2 linked regions of the Stegostoma tigrinum genome follow. The protein of the gene in region 2 binds, or shares a complex with, the protein of the main gene of each other region. Links are inferred from orthologs where the notes say so. Each region holds a gene or a part of one and is shown on either strand. Other genes may lie near its edges.

What was found. Proteins that work in one complex are often made in the same cells at the same time.
Region 1: the proteins of rims2a (region 2) and protein unc-13 homolog A-like are in contact, whole or in part, in a crystal structure (PDB 2CJS), measured with the Rattus norvegicus proteins. The link is inferred for Stegostoma tigrinum from reciprocal best matches to the Homo sapiens genes RIMS2 and UNC13A. Residues at the interface, in XP_063118965.1 of Rattus norvegicus: Asp102, Gly103, Cys104, Ser109, Gln112, Val123, Leu125, Ser127, Asn128, Lys129, Val134, Met135, Trp136; in NP_074052.2 of Rattus norvegicus: Tyr23, Ile36, Trp65, Leu69, Ile70, Trp71, Asp72, Thr73, Met74.

The regions. Positions count from the first base shown.
Region 1 is NC_081383.1:22,119,622-22,129,880, reverse strand, and holds the start of protein unc-13 homolog A-like, read left to right. Parts: upstream 1-6,151; 5' UTR 6,152-6,431; coding exon 6,432-6,453; intron 6,454-10,259. UniProt on the Homo sapiens protein: Plays a role in vesicle maturation during exocytosis as a target of the diacylglycerol second messenger pathway.
Region 2 is NC_081358.1:60,890,347-60,900,255, forward strand, and holds the start of rims2a (regulating synaptic membrane exocytosis protein 2), read left to right. Parts: upstream 1-5,826; 5' UTR 5,827-5,991; coding exon 5,992-6,008; intron 6,009-9,909. UniProt on the Homo sapiens protein: Rab effector involved in exocytosis. May act as scaffold protein. Plays a role in dendrite formation by melanocytes.

The sequences.
Region 1 (10,259 bases), on a different chromosome or scaffold from region 2:
GTAGCATGCAGATGGTACAAATGATACATTATCTTAATTAGCGAGCTTTGCTGAGCGTCTGGTGATGCTGTCGACCTATTTCCGTAAATGGCAGCCACATTAGAGTATGTTTTCCTGCTTTGTTGGCACGTTGTAGATTTAGATATGCCCCTAGAGTTTTGCTGTTATTCCGGTGTCATGGTGTATTATCTGTGGGCAGTGGGAAGGGGTTTGTTAATAAGTCCACTACCCGCTGCCTTTTGTCAGGAAATATATGATTATCACAAACTGTGCTATCTTCCACAGTCTATTAATCCGGTTGAACTTGTTTTCTGGCGTGGGTATACTTTTCATCATCGCAGTTGTCTACACTGTGGTTACAATTAGGAGGCAAACAAAGGGGTTTCCAATGGGGATTGTTTCAGCTTTGTATAGGCTTGATAGATGCCAGATAGTTCATCGGATGTCTCATCTTGTCTTCCAGTGTCTCATTATCCACACTTGGACGACGTAAAGGATCGTGTCCTCTCTGTCACAAGCGCATGGCAGAATTCTGCCATGATTCCAAATTCTACAGACATACTGGCAGGAGGATGGCACATCATTCGATGAATTTTACATTTTCTTCTCACTTTCTTTTAAAGATACACTGCTTCACAACTGAGTCACACTACTTTGATTTTTTAAATTTCGTCCATAGGATATGGTCCTGGAGAAGGTGATGGTGGGTCGCTACAACCCTGGGTTGTAGGTGCACCTAGTGCTGGTCTGATAGGAGATCCAAGACTTTGTTCCAACGACAGTGGATAAATGGTGTTATAGTTACGAATGGCGATGGTGTGTGACTTAGAAGATGCAGAGGGTGGAATTCCCATAAATCTGCTACTCTGGCAGAGGTTGGAAGAACCTTGGTCTGCCCTGAGGCTGGGATTGTGTGGTGAAGCACGTAGCAATCAAGTTTGCATATAGGTTGGACCTCCTGAGTTTGTCGTAGGTTCGATAGATGTCCTGTAACCGGGAAGAAATATGCAGTTCTGGGTGATGTTGGTCGGGAAGAATTTTATTTGCTGTTACAAGGGCGGAAAAATTCTTGTGGGGCCGGAATCGAGCCTTTAACGTAACTTTGAGTTTACTTGACAACTTTTTGTTTCAGCCTAAACAGATTTGAATCGATTTTTCAATCCGAGTCTGTTTGACTCAAAGTCCCAGAACTGCAGATGTTGGAAATCCGTAATCAAAGAAAAAAAACAGAAATTGCTGGAGAAACTCATCAGGTCTGGCAGAGAGAAAGCAGAATTAACGTTTCGACCCCAAATGACCCTTCTTCGGAACGAGTCACTTCTAACAGTTATTTTAGTGTCTTGCAGGCACCTTTTCTACTTGTTCACGAATAAGTAATATGGGAACTTTTGTGATTTCAGGATGTCTTGTACAACTTCACTGCGATATTATGTGCTCCTTTTCGACTTTCCCCCCATTTTAATAAACTATAACGAATATCAGTGTATTTGGTGACCATGTGCAGAATTGAAATCAGTGGCTCTATTTTCTACACTGTCAGCGAGTAGCTGTAATTACCAGCATAGTGGGAAATCTCAGTCTCTCTGTCAGACAGTGGCAGCACTCTGAAAGACTTGTAACTACCATGTAGAAGCAGAGCTCCAGCAATTCACAAATAAAAGACAGAACGGCCCAGTTTATTGAAACCTTGAACACAGTTCAAACGCCCATTTCTTTTAATGTGTGTATACATAATTATACACACGAGGCTACGTTACATTCTGGGAGAGGTATTTTAAGAACTGGGCAGGTTTGTGCCCGGGAAGCCAAAACTGGGCGGTATCCAAACAAGTTCAGAGGGAAGGTTTTGGTTAATGTTAATCACCATTTGCTTTTAATATTTGAATGGGAATGATATCGAGGTCAGCAAGTAGAAATGGAAGCTGGGGTGCAAGGCGATGCCGCTGAAGAAAATTTGGCAAGAACTAGTGAAGGAGTCATCCAAGGCCTAAAGTGTATTTCTATTTCTCCAGACCGCCTAAGGAATCCTCTCAAAGGTTGAACACAGTACTTCCCGATGTTTCTTTTAAATATTGTCAGATGTTTCTGGCATATTTAACATCACACGCCTCCTACTGAATCATAGTTCAAATCGCATTGCACGTCAGTTATATAATTAATCTTCAATTTGTAGATTTAAATTAGACTGCCGCTTTTCTACATAGAGATTCTTGGCTGACTGCGAATTGCTGCAGATGAAATGCAGCTGGGTGTGAACGGAGCGCCTTTTGAGTGAGTGGGTTCAATGCCCTCACACAAGCCGTACCCACTGTGCAGAATGGGGACAGTGAATTTTTTTTTAAAAAAACGACCCTTGCAACTTTAAATACAGCTGGGCAGATGTTGAGTTTAAATGCGGAAACCATACTACATTACAGGATAATAAAATGTGAGGCTGGATGAACACAGCAGGCCAAGCAGCATCTCAGGAGCACAAAAGCTGACGTTTCGGGCCTAGACCCTTCATCAGAGAGGGGGATGGGGGGAGGGAACTGGAATAAATAGGGAGAGAGGGGGAGGCGGACCGAAGATGGAGAGCAAAGAAGATAGGTGGAGAGGGTGTAGGTGGGGAGGTAGGGAGGGGATAGGTCAGTCCAGGGAAGACGGACAGGTCAAGGAGGTGGGATGAGGTTAGTAGGTAGCTGGGGGTGCGGCTGGGGGTGGGAGGAAGGGATGGGTGAGAGGAAGAACCGGTTAGGGAGGCAGAGACAGGTTGGACTGGTTTTGGGATGCAGTGGGTGGATGCTTAATTCTAACAACACAATCAGTTTCTATGAAAAAGTTAACGTCAGACCAAAAACCGTGAAAGTACTTATGTGAGCTAGAACGGTCGTTCGTTAAGCTACGAAGAAGGAGCACATTTAACAAAGTAAATAACCTGAAGTAAATAAATAAACAAAATTCTGAATGTCAAAATGGTTAAAGGAGGAAAATGTCTGTGATTCTGGAATTCACATCTTGACTAGTTCTGACTTTTCAACTTTTATTTATAATCACCTTGCAGTGCCTGATTTATGATGAATTGTTTCAGGGAGTCCATTAAGATTCCCCGGCATTTTGCCAACAATATTTTCATATTTCCAGAGCCTCTGTCTAGTTCCAGGTTAGAATATTAGAATCAGATTCCAATCGGCTAGAAGGGACTACAATAAATGACGTGCAGGATATAAAGAATGCTTCATCCTGAACAGTATTTAATAGGCAACTAGAAAATGAAAAATAAATGTTAATATTGCGTGTTTCAAACAGCTACACAATGAATAAATGTAACATTTCACAGCAAACCTGATGGTAAATGTCAAAACTTGTAACTCCATTTCACTTTCATATCATGTCACTCAATTATTTTAGGGACAAATGCACTTTGCAAAGACACTATTCTGAAGTCTAAATTTACTTCTCCAAGTGTGGAACTGATATCCAAAGAATAAATTGTAGCCCCTTTGCAAGTTCACACAAAATTCTGGGCATTCTCATTAAAAAAAATTGAGTTGTGAAGGATATAGGGAGTAAGTTTGCAGTCATGTGCTCTGAGCAGGGGAGGGAAGGGCTGGCTGTATTCGTGGACAGCATGTATCAAAGAATCCAGGCTACAATATTGTAGGTCATCCCTCACTTTTTCCTCCTGAAAACACCACAATGTGACATTATCCAGAGGTCCACTGAATTGTCTTTCCACTAAATCTTGTGTTGATGAACTCTGATTAAGTTTGTCAAACATAATCTCTGAATGCTAAGACCTAGATAGCTCTTGTTATTTGATTTTATTTTTAGAAAAAAAACAACTCCTTTAATCTTCCTCCAGGATGCCACCTTATGTTGTACCTGCTACAGATGTAAAGCTCACCAATCTGTAGTTTTGAGTATTATCTTGTTTCCATACACAGCTGGTAAACGATTTGCACAGTCTTCTTCTGAACAATGATAAAGCTGAATTTATTACATAGCTGAACTTACTGGAGCAATTTACTGATTTGCCTCAGCATAACGCAGTAGAATTGCTGTTCTGTTTGACTACAGAAGAATGATTGCTACACTCTAAAAGTAATTAATCAACTGAAACAATTTGAAACATTTTAGCACGATTGGATCCTACATAAATGCAAGTGATCTTTATTGATAAATACTTCCAGCCAAATGTAGTAGCATCACCGTGCGGTAAAATAGTATGTGCTTGCTTAAATAGCCAGCAATTTGATCACAATGGTCTTGTTGTTCTGCAGATGTTTTGCACTTGTCACCCATGGCACCACACACTACATCCCCAAATAATGGTGAGCATGATTTGATGAGTACAATGTTCATGTATATCCCTAGACATAGTGTTGCGTGGTGTTCTGAAGAAGGGTCACTGGACCCGAAATGTTAACTCTGTTTTTTCCTTCACAGATGCTGCCAGACCCACTGAACTTTTGCAGCAACTTTGTTTTTGTTCCTGATTTACAGCATCCGCAGTTCTTTCGGTTTTTATGGTGTTGCATTTGTAAGGCTTACCCATAATTAAGGCCATTGACTAGGATGATAACTTAAATGGCCTTCCCCAACACCTCACACAAGCAATCATAATTAATCTTTAACATAATTATTTAAATATCGTAACAATTTTGTATTAGGAAATAACTAAATATAAAGTGTTTGTTTAATGCTTCTAACGCTGCTGCTCCTAGACCGACCATCTTCAAAATGAAGATGCAATTATGTAATCATTTGTTTCTGGAAAATTCTCGTCTTATTGTATCTTCAGACACTTTGGGGAAGCATGGTGAATTTTAACATGAATGAGTTTAAGATCGAGTGTATTTGGGTGGGTTTAGTTTGGGGAAGATTCCATGGGTATCATTTTATAGCCATATTTGCTGGTGTGGTGGGGTGAAACATTCAAAGAGTGATTTCCAGCTGCTTACCCACCCACCTCCTCACACCCAGCCACAATGTTCTGACTGTGAGGAAGATAGCAGGAATCCCAGTAGTTATGCCGGCTTGGAGCTCAAATAGGAAAGGGGACTTTGGGTGAATGCTTCTTTCAACAGTCCCATTGTCTGATAGGACATTGCCTCTGAGGTGAGGCCCCTCACTCTGTCAGACATTCTCTGGTTCATGCCTATTACTTGATATGTCTATTTGCTGGCTCAACATTGTTACTGCAGGAGCAGCTTGAGTCTTTCTGGCTCCTAACTGTAAAATAAAACAAAGAACTGTGGATGCTGGAAATCTGAACAAAAACAGAAATTGCAAGAGAAACCCAGCAGGTCTGGCAGCATCTGTGGAGAGAAATCACAGTTAATGTTTGGAGTCTGGTCTTAAGAAGACAATACGAAACAGCTGAGTTGCTCCAGCAACTTCTATTTTTTTTGGCTGGTAAGACTTCCTGCTTGGAGTTGCTTTGATCTACCAACCTGACACTGTGCTCTGTTGCAGTTTTCCCAAAGTACATTAAGTTGCTGGTATTTATCTGGAGTTGCTGTGAAATGTCCAAGTATTTGGATCTGTCAGGAGTTGTGGAATCTGACTGGGATCTGCCTTGTTTGCACCATCTGGGATCTGACTTGAGCCATAGTGATTTCTCTGGTGTTGTTGAGATTGATGAACAGCTGATGGGATCTATCTGGAGTTGCCGAGGTCTGTCCAGACTTTCTGGGTATAACAGAGATGTGCCGTATTTGGGATCTATCCAGATTGGCTGTGATTTGTTAGGATTTGTTGGATCTATACATACCTATTGGGATCTTTCCAGAGCTGCTGGCAACCAATTGGAGTTGCGGTATGTTCCCAGATCTGTGATCTGTCGAAGTTGGGTATGCCTTCTCTGAATCCCGGTGGGGATCTGTCCGGAGTTGGCCACCATTTCTCCGCTTCCCTATTGGGATCTGTATGTGAATTATCTGGATCCTCGTCGAGATCTGTCTCGAGTTGCCGCGATTTCTCTGGATCCCGTCCGCGATTTCTCCGGATTCTTGTTGGGATCTATCCGGAGTTGGCCGCCGTATCCCCGGATCCAGTAGGGAATCCGCCCGCGATTTCTCCGGATCCCTGTTGGGATCTGTTCAGCTGCTGTCATCCCGCCAAATCCATTCTCGCGCCGCCCCATTGTGACGTCAGTCGGGCCAGGGGCTGCTCCCAACAAAATGGCGGCCGTAGAGTAACGGTCAGGAGCAGACATCGAGAGACAGGCAGACGGAGACAACGAGGAGCTGCTGTTACTGCTAAAGAGCCGGGCGATAGGGGCAGCCTCTTTCTACAGACTCTTTAACCTCTCCACAAGACGATAAAGAAAAGCATACGTGTATCATCTAACGGCCGGAGAAAGAGAGAGAGAGAGAGAGAGAGAGAGAGGAGAAAAGTCTTTGGAAGAGCAGGAGGATCAGTGGAGCGTGGCCGAGGAGACCGGAGACATGTCTCTCCTTTGTGTCGGAGGTAAGAGGCCCCCCCACCTACCCCCACCATCATCATCCCTACCCCAACGCCTCCTGTCACTCACTGCTTCCACGGAGCTGCAATGGTTCATCAATGAATGAGTGAATGAATGGATATCAGCAGCCTCTCATAGACTTTAGTAGGTGCGCGCACACACACATATATATATACACACACACACACACATATATATACACACACACACACGATTCATTCAGAAATTTTAAGCAAAATAGTCATTTGGTCCATTTGCATTCACCTGACACACAGAGAGTGAGGGGTTGTTTCGTCAAGGGGTTGCTCTTTCTTTAGCGAGCGACTGTCTGGATCGCTGTCAAACCAGATGAAGCCGTTCGGGCCTCATTATTTGAACCCGAAATAATATTTCAATGATGTGGCAGTTATTTTCTATGTGAAATGTGCTGGACATCCAGTTTGTTTTGATATTTCAGAGTTAGTGACACCCTCATGCCACTAGCACTTACGAATGAATTCGTTGCAGCCCATCTGTCAGATTTTTACTGACGAATAACCGCACCTGGGGTGGGTGTGGGGATTGTTGGTTGGTTGTTTCGCGCAACCTCCCTCCTACAACCCCCCCCACCCACCCACCCACGCCTCAGTTTTGCTTCATTAGAAGTTAAAATATTAACCGATCCTGCCACCCTTTGTGCCAGGACAGAGACTGTAGAAGTTACTGTCAAATTCCTATTCTGGAACGATTCGACTGTCTAAACTAACAGGAGCAGTTTTTGTAAAGTAAATACGTCAAACGGATTCTGGAATGGGAACAAACTTAAATTCCTGGCATGCTTTTCAAATCGTATACACTTTAATACATATTACAATCGACCATATCTTTCAGACCCTCCTTCTCCATTAAGCATAGCAAATGGACAGTTTGCTCATTTTGTTTTAAGAAAAGGTGGCTGATATAGCAGTGTGGATTTTCAGTATTTGTGCATTCAGTGCTCAGGGAATAGAAATTGAATGAATGGGAAGTGTCATGGCATCTTGTTGCAGCCCGTCAGTTTGTGGTACAGTACAATGGACAGCTCCCCCCTCCCGCACCAAACCGCTGACGGTTTATTTCAGATCTCATCAACACTTGCACAACGACTTCTCTTGAAAGGCGATTGTGTTCGATTGACTTATTTTAACAGTAATTTCCACTTTTAAATAAACATTCAATTGTTGACCATTACATGGGGTTTAGGCAGACCCATTTCATAAATGTGGAATAAATGTTGGTAGAATAATTTAATGACTAGTTAGGATTTATTAGATTCCCTGGCAGTAAAAGTGATGACAGCCCAAACTAACCTTATTTTAATAGTAAATGGGTGAACAATTTATATTGTTAACATAAGAAATGAATACAATGTTTTTTCTCCTCTCCAAAAATGCAGAATGTCTATTAAATTAGTATTTTATTGCAATTTTATTCAAACGAGCAGAACTCTCCTCACTGCTGTATTTTGTTTATAAAAAAAGTAAAACTTTCAAATGCTGATTTTAAATTATTATTTAACCGCAATGTTTGTTACCACAACTTTGTGGAACATATTGTTGATAATATTTGTTAAAATTGTTTGGATTTGGGAATTACACACTGGAAATGCTTGTGATCTTCCCATTACTTCGTAACTTTCATGAAGTAACAATGATCTATGCTGCTGAAATTTAGATATTATTACTACTTTCCTTTCAGTGAATTAATCATTAATGGTATACAGTTTCCTTAACTGAGTCATAAACCATATGTGGGTCACTTCCTAATCATGGATAAGATGTCTAACTTTGTTTTACGAATGAACTAATGGATTCTATTTTGGTAGACAGCTATTGATTTTTTGGCTATAGAGGGTTAGTGAGTGAAACTGGCAGCTAAATCAAGTTAGATTTGTAATTGAGTTTTCATTGAAGGCATATTTTTACATCATGTCATGCATAAAATTAGTTTAGTTACAGGAAGATACAGATATTAGTGGGTTTGGGAATTAACATCTGAATTTGAAAAAAAATACTTTCCAGTAATTACGAACAATTTTGATTCTTTTCCTGATGGGATACTACTATGTTTAGAGTTGGTCAGTTGACATTAATTCAGTTATGTTTACTTGCAAAATTTCCCTGTGTTGAGAGTTAAATTTGAAATAAAAACAAAAGCGCTGGAGAAAGTCAGCAGATCTGGAAGCATCTGTGGAGAGAGAAATAGCATTAAAGGTTAGATTCCAGTCTGACTTGTATAACCTTGGAGTTATATTTGCTTGGAGTCAGATGCAAAGTAAAGTTGAATTTACTTTGGAAAGTTAAGGTTAATAAAAATAACATAGTCACATTTTGCCTTCTACAATCCAGAAACATTAGAATCCTTGCACTGATTTTAAAAAAAAATGCAGACATGAAACCTTGATATTGTAGTAGAAATCACTCAAGATTGATGGGGTTACTAAATATCTAGCAACAAAATGTTATTCTTAGTATCTGGGAGCAAATTTCTGATGTATTTAAAGAATAAATAGTTAAGCAAAATGTAAGCTTTGTCCTTTTATTCCAGAATACCTTTTAAGTTCAGATCAAAGCATGATTCTGAAAAATGCTTTCTGTAAAAGGGATAAAGGATAACTTAATTAAAGTCATTGCTTTGTAACAGGCTTCATGAGTTGTTTGACATCATCAAAATACATGTAATCTGAAAACTTTCCTTGGAATTGTTTAAGTTGCATACAGTAGCATTATTAATGCAGTAAAGTGGGTAGCATTAAATATTGCCTCCTGTACATATCATATTATTTGCACAGATTTTACAGTCAGTGGCAAAAGCATACTTGCCATTAACCCTGGGGCAGTCTAAAGGTAGTGGAGTTCTGTCCAAAGCATACATTTCCTTTTTCAAAGCTAATGAATTTGATTTTGATAATATTTATAGAAAATCTGTGGAATCCAGAAATGCAACAAGCTAATTCTTTACTGTGAGAATCTTCACTAATTGAAGCTGAAAGCAAAACACATGGAATATAGTTCCTGTATAATCATTTCATAAAAAGTTAATGGGATTTGGGATTAATGAAAAAGAATAGTTATTAATTTTGAAAATAAATTTTTAAAAAATTTTGTTTTAGTAATCGATCAATTTTAAATGTGCTCTGTGGGATTAATGTTTCACAACTGGAGAGGTTGTTCAAGAGTAACTATAATTTATTGTTTCACAACTGAGTTAAAAATCTAACAATAACTGAGCAAAACTTAACATTTTCCTTGCTGACTTTTTATATCATAAAAGTATTGTAGTAATAATAATATGAAGATGACGGATAGAAACTGGTGCTATTTAGCCTGCTACATTCAATTTCTTCATGCAGAACTGGTTTCAAGTCTCCAAATACAACATTTGGTATGTGGCCAAAATCTCTGGGAACTAGTACTGACTGATGAATATTGTGGTCATCTCTGCTAAAATAAGATCAATAAAATGACTGGTGTTTTCTTTTAAAAGAAGAACTTATAGGTTTACGTAGCAGGATATATAAATGATTCCCAACATCCTTTACAGGCAAAAGGTTGTCAATGTATCCTCAACACACTTTGGTGAGCTCACTTAAGATAATCTATTCTAATCGTTTAATGGCTGAAGAAGCAATTCTGGGAAGTCAAAGTCTACCACATATGCTGTGAACATTGTTTTTGCCAATGGTATAGGATGCTCTGTGCTGATGCTGTGTTGGCCGGCCTATTATTTGTCTTGGAGCTGTGAAACCAGGAATCATGGTGGTGGCAAACCCATCTATTGGCAGGAATTTGTT
Region 2 (9,909 bases):
CAGACTGGGAAGTAATTGAAATCATTGACAACAATCTGAACCTACTTACAGAAATTAAAAAAAAACAGAAAAAAATGGAGTAGGAATAGGCCATTTGGCCCTCCAAACCTGCTCTGCTATTTAATATGTTCGCCCCAGACATTTGGCAATATTGTTTGAGTGAAATATAGTTGATTTGTTTTTCCTACGGGTTAAAATCATTGTCAATAGAGGATATTTTGTTGTAACTGTTTTTCTTAGCAAAACAGTAAGGGTGTTCCAAATTGATGCATTCCAATTTAAGTTTGATCAGATCCAGGGAAATCTTTTATGGTCTCCCCAAAACAGTGAGCGAAGGAAATCTTGGAATTTTGCACTGACCTAATCTTCCTGCTAAATCACTGAAGCTGCTCAGATCTGACTAGGATATTCCGTTGTAAAAATAATTGCTTGGCTGTACAGAACTTGAGTATTGTTGGGAGGAAATAAATGAGCAACTGAGCAGGGTAGATGCAAGAATGCCAAATTTCAAAGGGAACAAAAGTTTATACTACCTGAAACAGATGCTGCTGATTGGTGAGTGAACTGCGATTGTTTGAGGTGTTGCCGGGGAGATTGCACCCAGTGAACAGGTACTCCTAAGCTTTTATTTAAATTTGAGAAAGGGCAGGTTTGAGTATGATTGATCAAGATATGCAATAGCCAATACACCAGTACCTGGGGGCACCGGGGTCCCCAGGATTTTAATTGAAAAAGCACAAAGCTGGAAAGATCCCTTTCTTAGAAAGAAGCCTGTATTTGAATATATGTAAAACTTTGCTCTAACATCACTGCTCCCTTGATCTTTGCAACACTAACCACTGCCCTGACTGAAGTTGAATCATGTGTTCCCCTCCCAGTCTCACCTACTTACTGGAAGGATGTTGTAACAATTGCAGTACTTGATTATAAATCAGTCTTAGTCTTAGCCTGTCTATGCCAGGAGGTTGTGGCATTGCAGTAGTTCATTGCAATGAGGGCCAAAGCTGAATGTCTCTTGACACTTGTACCTTCCCTGTACTTCCCAAACGCCAAGAATGGGTGCTTCCAAACTTCTGGTCAAAGTTGATGGTGTTGATAATATATAGTTACAAATGAACATTACCATGCAGATCAAACCAAGAAATCTTTCTCCCATGTTTACAATGCCATTGATGCATAGCAGCTAAATATTTTGAGTATCTGAAGCAAACCTGATCTTTGCAACACATGAAGGTATAAGGTCCTTCAAAGTTCCAAAGTAGTATCTATGGCATACATTACATACCTGACGGAAAGTACAGTGGATGCCAATTGACAAAGAAATTAATGTTTGAGCACGTAATGTCTGCTCTATAAATATAGAGCAAGCATATCATTTCATATTTGATGCTGGCCTTCCATTTACAAGCCAATATCCTGTCTTAATCTTGCACAAGAAACACTAGTGCAGCAACATGAATTCACATCAAAAATTTTTTTAAGAGAATAATTTCAGGAGCAATTCTGTGTTTTGGTGAGCTCTGTTAAAATTTCAGCAATGCACGGGGTGGAATATAAGGTGCTGGAAGTATTTTTTGCTGCCTTTAAAGGCTTTTTCACTGACCAGCTGCTCAGATATGGGCAAATCAATAGGCTTTTCTCTTAGTACAATACTGGGCAAGAAAGGAGAATAAGCAAAAGTGGAACAGATTAGGAAGGAAAGGACAAGTACTTTTACCATGAGGTTGTTTTTGCCTAGAGGGAGCAATTGAGAATAGATCGCAGATGATGCCTTTGTTTCTTTGCACCCTGCCATCCGGAGTTATCCTGGCAGCTGAATGAACTGAGATGGCAGAAAACTAAGATTGCAGATTACCAGTCTGAGATCCCAATGTAGCATTGATATCTTGGTTGGATCATACTCTCACTGCAAAAGAAACTGAAATAGATCAGATACTGCATTATGGCAGGTTCTACAACAGTGCTACTGCTTGTTAGAAAGTGAGTGCTGCAGACACGGCAGAGCCCTATGCTTAGTCGTTGTTGGAATTTGCCATACTCCTTGACATTGAGGGTGGTCCATCTAAAATCACGAAATCGTACAGTCCCTACAGTGTGGAAGCAGGTCATTTGGTCCAGCAAGTCCACACCATCCTTCTAAAGAGCATCTGTCCCTAATTCATATGTTGATATCTATGGACTTGGTCTCAGCAATGGCCATGCCCATAATGACCAGCATAGCGTCCTTCCTGTAGGCTTGTACGTGCAAGTTAAGTATGAGTTTTGATCATGAGTGATTGTTGATGTGTAAGAGTTGGGGACTTGGTGAATTTCCCAGTGGGTGGGACTAATGGGACAGTTGATAGGATATGGAATTGAAGATGCAATGGCAGATCTTGATCATTTGTTTGAGTTGAAAGAACTGCATTAATGTTCTGAGCGCCAAACTCCTGACATTGACCTCTAGTTCTTTCTCTTGCCAATGCCTTCTGAGATGTACCTCAAGGGTCTCCAGTCTTGCTGAGTGTACAGAGCATTTCTTGTTTATTCACTCACTTCTACCAAGATATCCAGTGCAGCAGCTGAAAATCTTGCTCCCTCCCATAGTCTGTCATTGTTGCACATTCCAAATGATCTCGGTATTGCCAGAAGTTACAATGCATCTTTCCTTTTAGGAGGTGCAGGCTAGCTTTAAATAGTTATTGTAATTATGTTGGGGCCTGCTGATGCATTCAGTCAGAATTGCAGATTAGCTGTGGCTACATGCAGGAATCATTATCATGAGCAGTTGCCCTCTTGCTGCGTTATATTGAACAAATGTAGGTGAATCTCTTGTGACCTGCACATCTGTTTTGAAAGGCTGGCCACGTTAGCCCTTTAACACTTTAACATTGTTTGATTTGAAGAATAATTAATCTTTGGAAATGTAAGTCTAGAGATTGCTATCGGCAAATGTCGACAATGAGCTTTTAACACAGATCTTAAGACTGGAAGATAGGGGAGCAGAATTAGGCCATGCAGCATATCGAGTCAGACTGCCATTCAATCGTGGTTGATATATTTTTCAACCCTGTTTGCTTGCACTCTCTTCGTAATCCTTGATTCCCTTACTAACCAAGAACCTGTCTATCTCTCTGTCTTAAATAAACTCAATGAATTGCCCTCCTTAGCCCTCTGCAGCAATGAGTTTGACAGAGTCACCACCTTTTAGCTGAAGAAGTTCCTCCTTATCTGTAAGTTTCAATGAGATCTTACCTCCTCCTTTTAAACTCCATCGAGTACAGACGAGTCCTCAGCCACTTGTTGTATGGTGGCCTTTCATCTAAGGATCATTCTTGCAAACCTCTCCCAGACCACCTTCAACACAGCTCCTCTCCCCTTAGTAATGGGCCCAAAACTGCTGTCCGTATTCCAAACATGGTCTGATGAGAAACTTGTACAGCATCTGCAGTACATCTGTTCTTGTCTTCTGGCCCTCTAATGAATGTCAACATTGCAGTTGCTAACTGAACCTGCATATCATTATTAAGAAAACCCTGAACAAACACTCCCAAGTCTCTTTTGCACTTCAGATTCCTGAAGCCTTTCTTGCTTCGAAAATACACCTCTATTCTTCCTACCGAAATGAGTAACCTCACACCTTTCCCACATTGCATTTCATCTACCAGTTCTTTCTCCACTTGCCTAGCATGCCTAATTCCATCTGTGGCCTCTTTTCCTCAACATTACATGCCCTCTACTTAGTATTTGCAAAATTAGCGATAATGCACTCAGTTCTTCCATCCAGATCAATAATGAGCAAAGTGAATATTTGTGGTCGTAACACTGAGCCCTGCGGAGCTCCACAAGTCACCAATTGCTACTCGGTAAAAGATTTCTTTATCCCTACTCTCTGCCATCAGTAAGTCAGCCAATTCTCTATCCTTGCCAGTATTTTTCTCCTAACACCATGGACTCTTTTTTTCTTATTTAGCACTTTGTCAAAGGCATTCTGGAAACCCAAATAGTAGATGTCATGGGTTTCATAGAATACCTATAGTGTGGAAGCAGGCTATTCGGCCCATTGTGTTAGCACCAACCCTCTGAAGAGCATCCTACCCACCTCCAACCCTATTCCTGTGACCCATTACTTCCCTTGGCTAATTAATCTCGTCTGCACATCTGTGCACGCGATGGACAGTTTATAACCAATCCACCTAACCTGCATATCTTTGGACTGTGAGAGGAAACCTGTGCACATGGGGAGATTGTGCAAACAGACAGTTGTCTGAAGGTGGAAGTCAACCTGGTTTGCAGGTACTGTAAGGTAACAGTGCTAACCACTGTCCTCTGCCTCTCCTTTTTTGCCTAACTTACTTGCTCGCTAAGCTATCTGCTTCAGACCTCTGGTGTATAGTGCATCCGGTTGAAGTGATTTATATCACTTCAGACTTTTCAGTTTCCCCAGCACCAGTGATGGCCACTACATTCGTTTTTGCCCCTGACTCTTAAAATTCAATTATGTTGCTCTTGTCCTAAGTCAGTGCTGGTGGGTTTAGATGGTGCCGTCCTAAGTTTTGGTGAGTTGTATTTTGTAGATGGCACACGCTACGGCCACTCTGAATTGAGAGTAATGAGTGTTTATGGTGATGGTCTGAATCAGGTTTATCCTGGATGGTGTCAAGCTACTTGAATATTGTTGGTTGCACCCATCCAGGCAGAGGGGAGTGTCCCATCATACTCCTTACTGTGCCTTTGTAGATGGCGGGCAGCCTTTGGGGAGACAGAAGCTGAGCTGTCTGTTCCAGAATTCCCAAACTTTTATGTGGTTTTACAGCCACACTATTTATATTGCTTGTCCAATTCAGATTCTTGCCAACATTAACCAGAATGTTGGTAAACAAATTAAACATGCACTAAAGAGGTACGTGTATCAGGAAGGATTGAAATGGTTGAGGCTCTTTTCTTCAAGAAATTGGCAAGCTGAGAGATGACTTTTCGAGTAACTAGAATTTATTGTATTTTGATCATACTTTTGAACTATTCTTTTCTTAAGGTCATGGATGATAGCTAATAATTATTGCCCTGTTATACAACACAGCCTTTCACTATTTATTTGCATAGATGCTGGAGTTCGATTTCAAGCCCATACTATTAATCCAGGGCAATGATTTACAGTTGCAGTTGAAATTAAGTGCCATTCTGGCACTCCATCTAAGTTTTGGACCAACATTGCACCTGTGAACCAGCTTCTCGCTCCAATACAGAATATAGAAAGAATGGATCAATGATATTTCACAATTTTTTTTATAATTGCACGTATCGGTTAAGATTTCTCTTGAGAAATGAAACTGACCTTAGTGTCTGCACACAACCTTTTTTAATTTCTGATTTTTCTGTTCAATGCAGTGTGGTAGCTTCTCAGAACAAAGCAGGTTAGCATTTGCCCACTCTGTACTATAATTTGTTGTGCTCCCTAGAGGAATTGTACTGCTTCAGTTTTATGTTCTGCTGACTATTATCATTGAAATATGATGAGAGCAGGGCTGTAGAGATTTGAATTGTATGTTTAATTTTAAGTCTGAGTTTTAAAGGTATCTTTTTGGATTGGGATTAATACAGAAATTTCAGACAGTGAAACAGATGAAAAACCTGCCCACTCTTCTGCAAGCCATATGCAGCCGCAGCAGTTTGCCATGGATTGAACAAGATGGCCACAGCAAGAAGTATACCTTCTGACAAAAATCTGGCATTATTGACTTTGTCATGTAGTACAGCGTGAGATTGAGATGTGGGGAAAGTGTGGGGTTAGGTGATAAACTGCTTTCTGCTGTTATTGCACACAAATCATAAGAAGACTGCCTAGGAGATGCAGGAAAATTCTAAGACACATACGAATGCTGTTTTCTATCTCTGGGATGAGTGCTGTACACATGGTCAGCATTACTGGATTTTAAACCTGTAAGACTGTTACTTGACAAATCCAGTATTTTTACCTGTTGAAAATTGTACCCATATAATTGACAAAAAGTCATGCCCATCTGGAACAGGTAGGATTTAATATAGTTGCTGGATAATTTTTATTTCAACATTTCAATGGACTTTTGCAGTAATAATAATTTTAAAATGTGTTTCTAATATTAGTTAATAATGTTCAAGTTTATCTTAATATTTGTGAGTTGAGAGACAAGAATTGGAAAGGAAAAGATTTGAAAACTTTCTTGAAACAATGGTACAGGGCTATATTGTTAAGCTGAAAGGAGAACTAAACTCAAGATGAATTAAAATCTGGAATTAATATTTATTTCCATTATTATATTGTGGCTGTTGTGTTTTTCACTTTCATACGTGGTGTAATAGCATTCTGAAGCTTTTCAGATGTTAAAACTTTTTTGCCTACAAAAGAAAACTAAACTAATCAAAGAACCTTGACAACATAGAGGTCTGACAGCTTGGATAGTAGCTTTTCATTTCCACAGAGGTGATTATGGACAACCTGAATCTGTTGAAATTTTGCTTTGCATATTTTTCCAAACAGTTGGAATTAGACTTTTCTTCAGAATAGCTTTATAACATAATAGCCCTGCTGAAATTGTCATATAACAATCTATTATGAGGCTGGAGGTTGAAAATATTTGAAATTATGTTGAACCGAGATTTATTGAAGTGGAAAGTTATCAATCTTGCAATCAATTGATAGTGTGCTTCAATAATTTAATTATACTAGTTTACTCGATATTAAGAACATTACACTCATAGATCTGAATTTTAATTCGAATTGATTAGATGTCAATTTTCAGCTTCTCTCCGTGAGCTCTACTGAGAGATCTCTCAATTTTGGCCACCTTATGCACCCTGTCTCTATGGCACTGTTTTTGCACTCAGCAACAAATGTGGTCATCATCACTATTGGAAACTTCCAAGATTTCTATAGACAGACTCTATTTAAGAGCCACGTTTGCATCAGGCTGATCACTGCCAGGCATGAATTCAGTTTACAGTATAATGGCAAAGAAAATGAAAAATAAAAGCTTCTGAAGGCATGGGTGACTGTTCATTGGAAATAGAAACCCACTTTACTAAGTGTACAAATGCATCATCACCTGCCTGATCCTTAGTTCTACTCTATGATGCAATCCTGACTAAGGAAATGCTACTCCTCCCATAATGTGCAGCAGAGCATAACATCTTACCATTGTTCATTGTGGGAGTATGACTTGTTGAATGGCCTTCAAATAGTGGGAAATGTTTATCAAAGATAAAAATCTAACAAAACAAGCTTCATTTGTTTCTGAATGTAAATCGTGGTTGTTTGCTTTCAAGCAACAACAAATTTACAGTGAATAACAGATCATGTCACCAATTGCCATGTGTTGGAAGCAAGTATCAATTTAGTCCTGTATCACAGATAATGGGAACTGCAGATGCTGGAGAATCCAAGATAATAAAGTTTGAAGCTGGATGAACACAGCAGGCCAAGCAGCACTCTAGGAGCACAAAAGCTGACATTTCGGTCCTAGACCCTTCATCAGAGAGGGGGATGGGGTGAGGGTTCTGGAATAACTAGGGAGAGAGGGGGAGGCGGACCGAAGATGGAGAGTTAACCCTGCAGCCCAATGGTATCAATGTGGACTTCACCAGCTTCAAAATCTCCCCTTCCCCCACCGCATCCCAAAACCAGCCCAGTTCGTCCCCTCCCCCCACTGCATCACACAACCAGCCCAGCTCTTTCCCTCCATCCACTGCATCCCAAAACCAGTCGAGCTTGTCTCTGCCTCCCTAACCTGTTCTCCCTCTCACCCATCCCTTCCTCCAAACCCAAGCCGCACCTCCATCTCCTACCTACTAACCTCATCCCACCTCCTTGACCTGTCCGTCTTCCCTGGACTGACCTATCCCCTCCCTACCTCCCCACCTATACTCTCCTCTCCACCTATCTTCTTTTCTCTCCATCTTCGGTCTGCCTCCCCCTCTCTCCCTATTTATTCCAGAACCCTCACCCCATCCCCCTCTCTGATGAAGGGTCTAGGCCTGAAACGTCAGCTTTTGTGCTCCTGGGGTGCTGCTTGGCCTGCTGTGTTCATCCAGCTTCACACTTTATTATCATCAATTTAGTCCTATTTGGTTTCTTGTACTCTGCTGCAGTACTGTATCATGGTGAAAGTGATGTTCATTCTGCTCAATTGATAGTATACTCCAATAGTTTCATTATACTAGCTTGTTCTATATTAAGAACATTAGACTCATAGAACTGAATTTTAATTGGAATTGATGAAGTGTCAATTTTCAGCTTCTCTCCATGAGCTCTGGCGAGTTATCCCTCTCCATTCTCCTCAACTTCCTCCTCTGAAGATTGCTGCAGTTGCAGCTCTTCAACATCCGTCACATCCCCTCTTTGTCTGCTCCGGTGAACAGAGCACAACATGCTAGGATCATGTGATGCACCCTGACAGACTGGACTGCAAAACTGTGTCAGACTGATCCAGGCATTGGAATTTCACCTTCAGGAGGCATAGCATCTGCTCTATGGTGGCTTTAGTGGAAGAATGGTCTGCACTTTGCATCTACACTCAGCCTCAATCAAGGGTTTATGCAATGGTCAGCAACTGTGGATGCAGAGGGGAACCTTATTCTCAAGTAGCAAACTTTTTAAGCCATATGATCCTTGAGATGAAGCAGGAAATGAATTCTCAAGGATATGGACACCTTCTGGGCTGCCCAAAGCAGACTCTTAAGATGCGATACCCATGATGATGTATTGTTTGAATGTTGACCGAATAGATCCTTTTCTTATTGATGAATTCAGCCATTTTTAAAATGATATTCTTAGCACAATGTGTACAGTCTTTAGAGTCCTATAGCTGGAAGAAGCCAGCTATGTTGGCAAATACTGACAGGCTGCAACACTTACCCTGTCATGGAAAAATCAGATAAATGATGTGAACTGACACAAATTGGATCAATAACAGCCAAGATACATTTGTGGGTTGAGAGGTCTTAGTAGGTCTACAGTGGATCTTTGGAAGCAGCCTGTTGCATAAAAAATTTAGTGCAGCTATCAACTTGACAGTAATTCTGATGGGCTGGCTATCTGCCCTTGAGGGTACAAATCCTGCCCATCAAATGATACAAGTCTGTGACAGTGTCCTGGGACATTGAGTCTATGGCAGCAATAAGCCTGCTAATCCTGAAGAAATGTCATTGAGGTCAATAGACTCTTGACCTGCTGGGCTTGAGATTGGACACTGCCCTTGACCAAGTCTGGTGAGGCAAGCTCATTGACAGTAATCCCTGTTGACGTGACTGAGGACAACTCGGCTTAGATTTTGAAATGTGGCGATTTAGTGGAAACGCATTCAGTGTGTTTGCCGCAAAGTTGCTGGCACATGCTGGAGGCGTGAAATTGATCTAACACAGTGCCATATGTCAATATTAACCCTGTTGACTGTTCACTGCTGGCATATGTGGTAAATTGCCCAGATTTGTCTAAAAAGATGATGAAGAAAAGGTTTTTATATAATGAGTAGTTAGGATCCAAGATGATGTGCCCAACTGAAGGGTGGAGGCCAATCCATGTGAACTTATGAAAAGGAATTGTGCCTTTCTCCATTTTTCTTGTGTTCTGTCCTCCCTGCCACACCACCTCAGGCAGTCTTCCTTGTCTTGATCACTTTGCTGCCTATAAAAAAGGACCCATTCTCACCCTTCATACCTTAATTCATGTCCATTTTACATATCTCTTTTTAGGCTTCTATACCATCTGTTGGATTTATCCCTGCTCTGCCTCTGCTAAAAGTCTACAAATACACATTTTCTAACATCTTTGAGTTTTGAAAATTAGTCTTATTAGCACTGAAAATGTAAACTCTGTTTTTCGTTCTCCACGAATGTTCCCAGACTTGCTGAGTTTCTTCAGCAACATTTGTGTTTATTCTTATGAAAAAGAAATTT